Linked DNA regions of Callithrix jacchus. The protein of the gene in region 1 purifies or fractionates together with the protein of each later gene. This does not show direct contact. Links are inferred from orthologs where the notes say so. Each region holds a gene or a part of one and is shown on either strand. Other genes may lie near its edges.

Evidence for each region.
Region 2: the proteins of DNAJC11 (region 1) and ARMC1 purify together in Homo sapiens (affinity purification with mass spectrometry; 4 studies listed by BioGRID and IntAct, counting the BioPlex papers as one, with this or other methods). This does not show direct contact. The link is inferred for Callithrix jacchus from reciprocal best matches to the Homo sapiens genes DNAJC11 and ARMC1.

What each region holds. Positions count from the first base shown.
Region 1 is NC_133508.1:44,553,297-44,557,118, reverse strand, and holds part of DNAJC11 (dnaJ homolog subfamily C member 11), read left to right. Parts: intron 1-1,709; coding exon 1,710-1,838; intron 1,839-2,821; coding exon 2,822-2,944; intron 2,945-3,822.
Region 2 is NC_133517.1:21,485,233-21,489,054, reverse strand, and holds the end of ARMC1 (armadillo repeat-containing protein 1), read left to right. Parts: intron 1-765; coding exon 766-882; intron 883-966; coding exon 967-1,041; intron 1,042-1,709; coding exon 1,710-1,901; 3' UTR 1,902-3,808; downstream 3,809-3,822.

The DNA.
Region 1 (3,822 bases):
TTTCCGGGTTTATGAACAGTGTTTTCTTGGAACACAACCACACTCGGTCATTTACTGCGACCTGGCTTCTTTCCCACTTCAGTAGCAGAGGTGAATTGCGACAGCAGACTGCATGGCCGACAGCACCAAAAATCTTCACTCCGGCTCTTCACAGAAACCATGTGCAAAGCCTGATGGGTATCATTCAACAGGCACAGAAACATTGTAACAGGGTGCTCAGGGTGCTCTCTGACAGGCTCTGCATCACAGGCCACCTGTGTTTCCCATTTTCATATGTATTTGGAGTTTCCTAGGGATGTGGCTGACCATGGGCTTGACAGCTTCAGCCATCCCACAGGCCAAGGCTCTGGCCACCACTAGCTACGCCATGTAGCAGCATCTGATACTTCCCCACTACTGAGGCCAGGAGTAAGCTGCACCTCACCACTGTCAGCGCACACCACACACACCCATCCTAGAAAGGGAGCTGCCTCCTGCAGTTCATCTGCAAAGAAACGGCAGAAGAGTGGTGGGCTCTCACCGGCTGTGTCCTAAAGCCACTGTGCGCCTCACACGTGAGATAAGACCATGGCAGATGCTAGAATTACAAGTGACAGTCCATCTGCAAAACCGACTCTGGCATAAAAGTGAAAAAGCTGGGCGAATGGCTAAACCAACAGAAACAACAGGTTAAACCCCACCTATGACACTCTAGAGACCACCCACACACCATCTGAACTCATCTGCCATTGCCCCGTCTGCTCTAGCCCTAAGGCCTCCTCGCCTCTCCACTGGGTGCCCACAAGGGTATTCTCATTTGATTTTTTGTTCCCACACCCCCTTCTCAGAAGCCCCTTTCTTCACCACTTAAAATACTCTCAAGCTACTTAGGGGGTGATAGAATTCACCAGGTAGTTTCACCAGCGTACACATGTCAAAAACTCACGGAATTGTGTACTTCAGATGGGTGCGGTTTATACTGCAATACATAAATTAAACCTCAATTGATTTTTTTTAAATGGGCTGCAAAAAGTTTCATTTAAAATGTGTGTGGCCATGGTTTTATACACTGGATTAAGATACATGTCCATTTTTAAAGTTATGACTATAAAAGAATAATAATAAACATTGATTTTCTGAGTGACAAGCGTTTTTATCAGCAAAATTTTAGCTTAGAATTCCTTGAGTGAACAGTGTTCTGTTTCTCATAACTTAATTCTCAAGTTAATTTGAGAAGGTGGATTAATTTTTAAGTCTCCCATTTGTTTGTAATTAGTGCTGCTTCATCTTGGAAGACGTTTTTATTTAAAGAGTGTTAGGGTAGTTTTGTGGTATAAGGGTGTTTACAAAAAAGTGTTTAATCCATACAGCTAATTTCTAGGTGGTCTTATGCATTTCTGGGTCCTGTTTGGTCTGAAAATCAAACCATGGAGCTGTTACTTCTCTGACTAGCACTTTGTGTTTGGCATGTCATTGCTCTGCAGACAGGCAGACCGGCTTTCCCTGTCAAATGTTTTCTAGCTCCGGACGTCTGTGGTGCTCTGCGGTCGTTTGGTTCAGACTGTGACATTCATGCTTTGTGGGCTTCCTAGTGGAGTGTCCTACCTAAACCAGTGCACCCTGACGTCTGATGACTTGTTCAGTTCAAGCAAGCTGGCTGTTAACTGTAGTATTGTCTTTCATTCTGCAAATACCACCCCTTCTGCTGACGGCTTATTTTTCTGCCCCAGGGAACCATCAGTGTTGGAGTAGATGCCACTGACCTTTTCGATCGCTATGACGAGGAGTACGAAGATGTGTCCGGCAGTGGCTTTCCACAGATTGAAATTAATAAAATGCACATATCCCAGTCCATTGAGGTAAAGCACACAACCACCTCTCTAAGTACAGCAAGGGCTCGAGTTAATGAGGCACAGCACACCAAGCAGCTAGAATGAGAGTCTGCCCAGGGTTTTTCTCATCTTTATTTATGAAAAGATGCAATTAGCCACTTAAAAAAGAAAGCGCTTCAGTCCCAGCCTCGTGTTACTGCTGTGCTGGCATGTGGGCCCGCAGGAGTGTGGGCTGGGGCGCTGGGCTCCCAAGGCCTCGGGCCTTTCCAGCAGAGGGTGTGAATGGTCTGGGAGAAGTAGAGGCCCAAGGTCATGGGGTTCTGGGAGAGAACGAAGACTTCCGTGGATCGTTCTAACAACCGCTTTTAGTTTTAAGGCAGATTCTGCTAGGAGCCGTAAGGCTATAGCAGCTCCCATCCTGAGCCCTGGGCACATGAAAATGTCACCATTCTGCCCACTGTTTGGATGTGGCAAGGTCAGGCCATTCTCCTGAGCATTTATAGTAGATCTGTGTCTCCTCAGTTCATTAATTTATTATCAAATGCATCAACCAACAGTGTGAAGTCCTAACTTGGGGAAATTTGCCCCCACTGGAGCTCCCCAAGTCAGTTAATACAGAATACAGCTATGGCAAGGTCTTCAATCCCCCCAGAACCCTGATGGCAACCGAGGACAGGAGAGGCCCAGGTGTACCACAGAGGGAAGGCACACAATGAAGTCCCTATGCAGTCTGATACCATTGGGACATGCAGCCCCATGTTTCCCCTGGTGTGGTGAAATTTGCCCATTCAAGCTTCTGCAAAACATATTATCCTCATGGTCACATGCAGACCAAATAACAAAGCGGAAGAAAAGTCAAGCTGCTTCAATAATCCTGCATCCATATGTCCTTCTGAACAGCGGAGTCATCTGCACCTTTGGCCGTGGGCTCACAGTGTGTTCTTTGGGCTGCTGCCATTGGCACTTTCTGTTGTTTTGATTCATTTATTACCAGCAAATATCATTTTTAGGCACCCTTGACAGCGACAGACACAGCCATCCTCTCTGGAAGCCTCTCAACCCAGAATGGGAATGGAGGGGGTTCCGTTAACTTTGCGCTCAGACGAGTAACTTCCGCAAAGGGATGGGGAGAGGTAAGAACGTCTGTTGGCTGAGTTATGTTGTCCGTGCAAAGCCTATTTCCGAACATTTACACTCTCAAAGTTCACCCCCAGAGCCACCCAGGGGGCCCCGTTGTGGTGCAACATGGTACCAAGTATCAAACTTCCATAAGTTGACTGGCACTAAAAGGAAAATAGGTCTCATAAGCCTGGCCAACACGGTGAAAACCCGTCTCTACTAAAAATATGAAAATTAGCTGGGCATGGTGGCACCTGCCTGTCATCCCAGCTACTCGGGAGGCTGAGGCAGGAGAATTACGTGAACCCAGGAGGCAGAGATTGCAGTGAGTCAAGATCACACCATTGCACTCCAGCCTGGGAGACAAGAGCAAAACTCTGTCTCAAAGAAAAAAGAAAGAAAAATATGTCTCATATCTGAAAAGTCCGTCAGTCTGCCTCACAGTTTAAAATTAGGATAGAAAAACAAGGTTTCCTATGAGATGCCAACTTCCAGAAATCCAGGCCCTGCAACTCAGCATGTTTGTTCCCTTTGAGCAAAAAGCCTATGGGCTAACTTTTCCCTGCACAATTCAGAAGGCAGGTGCTCTCTTCAGTGCAATGGTTCACTGACTGGTGGCCATGTAACCGCCAGTTCTGCCGAACAAAGTGAGCTGCATCAAATTAACATTGAAGGGTTGTTTGAAAGTCACCCAGACAAGTAAACACAGCAGCCAGGCTCAGCTGTGACTTCCAAGGCTGTGCGAGTGTGGAACTGCTGCTGGGTTTTAACCTCAGGCCCCTGAGGTCCACCCTGGTCACCTGGGAGACATCTGGCGCAGGAAGAAAATAAAAAGCCGGGCGCGGTGGCTCACGCCTGTAATCTCAGCACTTTGGGAGGCCGAGGCGGGTGG
Region 2 (3,822 bases), on another chromosome or scaffold:
CTATTAGAATTTATCCCTGGAGATTTTTAGGCTAGAGCAGGGGTCATAAGCCTTTTCTTTATAGGACCAGAAAGTAAATATTTTTGGCTTTGCAGACCACAGTGGTCTCTGTCATAACTACTAACTCTGCCTTAGCATGAAACTAGCCTCTGATAATATGTAACAAAATGGGTGTGCTTGTGTTCCAATAAAACTTTATTTACAAAAACAGCTAGTGGACTATAGTTTTCCCCTCCCTTGAGTTAGAAAAACCTCGCTTTTCTGCTTTTTGGCCTTTTTTCCCCTGCATTGTGTTCCATTTGTTTTGTTTTGAGACAGAGTCTCACTTTGTTGCCCAGATTGGAGTGCAATGGCACGATCTAGGCTCACTGCAACCTCTGCCTCCCAGGTTCAAGCAATTCTCCTGCCTCAGCCTCCTGAGTAGCTGGGACTGCAAGTGCGTGCCACTATGCCCAGCTAATGTGTTCTGTTTTATTTAAGATATAATTTAACATTGGCTAACTTCTTTCTGATAAAAATTATTAAAACTCCATACTAGTATTGAAGCTTTAAAAATTTAGCAGGAATTGCTATTCTGTTGATTTGTGAAATTAAAAAAAAAAAATTTTGACTAAGCACCCCCACTCTATGCCCTGATGTAAGACGTTAAAATCTGAAATAGTTCGTTTGCTCTCTTCACCCCCTCCCCAAAATATAGTGTGGTTTTAGCTAATTTATTACCTTTTATATGCCTGTTTTCATAACAGTTTGCTTTTATTTTTTCAGTCTCGGAGAAATCTATGTGAAGAGGCTTTGTTAAAAATTAAAGGTGTTATTAGCTTTACTTTTCAAATGGCTGTTCAAAGATGTGTGGTGCGAATCCGTTCAGATTTGAAAGCTGAGGTAAGTATTTGAAATGGCTGAATATGTTTGAGATTATAGGTAAACAAATAAATTTCAAAATTTTTCCTTTTTATCCTGGCTTAGGCTTTGGCATCAGCGATAGCATCAACCAAGGTTATGAAAGCTCAGCAAGTTGTGAAAAGCGAGAGTGGAGAAGAGGTAAAAGTTATATTTAGTTTTCTTTATATTGAACTCGCTCTCAATTATTTTTTATGGCTAGCAGATTGCCAGTATTTCTAAATAAATAGTGCCGAGTATGTAAGGATGTGTTGTTTCTTGGTTAATAGTTAATTGTTTTAGAAGTAGATCTTTTGTGGATATCAGAGTCTGCTCTTGCTGATTTTATATGGAAATAAAGGATACATGGCTTTCTTGCATTTATCTTTAAATACTTTCTTCCTAACCTTAACTAATCTTGACAATCCAAAAAATAAAGGTATAACAACTGGGCAAATAAATAGGATGAAAATCCTTGTCTGTTGCTACTCTTTTCACTAGCTTTTTGATGGGAGAAACAAATCTATGCCTTGAGCTCATTTGAGTTTCCAGCTCATAGTTGGGAGTTCCATGGCTCTCCAGTGGCCTGCAGTGGCTAGACACTTGCTTTAGTCACAATTACCCAGACAGAGGTTGCTCATTTACTCCTAGAATTTCAGCAGATTAACTTCTGAGTTCTCATGTACTCTGCTTACTCCCTTCTGTACTTACACAGTGCTTAGCAGTTGGGCCTACTGTCATGTAACAGCAAAGTTTACCCTGAGAATAACCACGGTAATTAGGGAGTAAAGTTGATTTTATAATGACTCTTAATATATTTTCTGTATCAGATGCTTGTCCCATTCCAAGATACTCCTGTGGAAGTAGAACAGAACACAGAGCTACCTGACTACCTGCCTGAGGATGAGAGTCCCACAAAGGAACAGGACAAAGCGGTGTCCCGGGTGGGATCACACCCAGAGGGTGGAGCTAGCTGGCTGAGCACAGCTGCAAACTTTTTATCCAGATCATTTTATTGGTGACTTCAGTTTGGGGCTCAAGGACTGTGTGAACCAACAAGGGGCCAGTTTTCCATTGTTTTGGTGAACTGTCAAGTGCAATTTGCAATAAGTTATCATGGAAGGTTTTTAGATTACGTGATTGCATATGCTGCATTTTACATTTCATTGGACATTTTACCCCACTGAGTGGTAAAAAGGACAGTGGCTATGGATGGAGTTGCTTTGTTTATGAAAGTATTTTGGTTTTGTTTTCCTTCATTTAATTGCCTCATATTTTAAAAACCATGGGTCCACTGTTGAAACCAAACATGTGTGTGCAGCTTTACATTTTATTTTACATGAAGCACGTGATTAGGAAAACTCGTTTTCTCCTCAAGCCTCAGGACCTACCTGAAGAAAAGTTTTCTTGTAGCTCAAGTTGTGCATGAATTACTGAATATTTTACTCTGCTTTTCTTCATGAAAGTTACATGCTTTGGTACTCCTCACTGAAAGCTGAAAACATTTCTTGTTACCCTCTTTTGTGCCTTTTTATTTTGCCAACCATGTTTATAGAAAGGACATTACTAATGACATTTTGAAAATTAAAAACATTTATTTGAACATGGTAGTCCCTTAGAAAAACAACTCTACAGAGATTTTGCAGCCTTATTCATTATAATTTTAATAAAATTAACACGATCAGTCAAGAAGAAGGAAACATGTATGTTAGTAAAGTGTTTTTGGAGACTATTTGAATGTGACTAAATGTGGTTCTAGTTGACTTCTTTTCACTTTGGTTTCTATCAGCTCTTGAGAGTTAAGTCCAACCACGATATTGCAAACAACTGTAAATGGTCTCTAGGCCTTACTTTGTGTTACACGTTATCTCCTGATAGAAAAAAATAATGATAGTAAAGAACTGACAAACTGAAAAAAAAAAAAAAAAATCAAATGCCTATAATAACATAACGCCACTTTGGTGTAGAGTCTAACTGTAAGACATGAATTGCTTGACCGAAGCCTATTCAGTAGGTGTTTCTTTGTATTGCCTTTCGTGAATTTATTTTGAAAATGCTGCAGTTGCATTGAATGATAAAGACCCAAATTATTGCTTAAGAAGAAATAAAACCAGCATTGATCACTTAATCCTGTTTCTCATGTCCAGCCAGAAAAACGAACTTCAGTGAAGGTAAGATAAATAAATACATATACATACAATTTTTTTTGGTAGATGAGTGCTAATTTACATATATGTAATGCTTTATTAAATTTCTGAAATATTTAGTAACAAAAGTTTTCTTTTTGGAAATTAAATCCAAATACATTTTAATGTTGATATGACTGAAAATGGGAAGAAATTGGAATTCCTTTTCATCAACATGTAGAGTTGCTATTTTACTATTTGGAGAATGCAATGTGAAAATTGGACCCCAAAGGGTTTTCTTGTGTTTTCATTGTAAAATACCATCACCAGTGAGAGTCTTGAGTTCACTAACATTGTGACCTTCTGGAGGGAGAGTTATAGGGGGTATTGAGGATGATTTTTTTCATGTGTCTGGTTTCCGATTCAAGTGACATGCACAAACTGAAAAACAAAAACAAAAAACCAAAACTCTGAGGGCGCCTGTTGCTCTAAACGCATAATAGAACTTGCTGCCAGACCAGATGTGTTGAAAAAGGAAAATAAAACCACCTTCTTTCTAGAGCCATTAAAGCAAAGTTTACTGTTCTAACAAATTTGTATTTTATTTTGCTTTGCCACACATCTGCTTATTTAAAAACTACATCCCTTTGGTAGTAATGGTTCAGGACAAGTAGGTATTACTGCTTGATGTTTGTGTGTTTGAAGTGTGTTCTTTTATTCCAGATCATATAGAGCAGTTAAGGCAACTGTAACAGCATTTTTTGAAATACATTGTAAAATAATAAAAGGTAACATAATTAAAATTGATTGGATATTA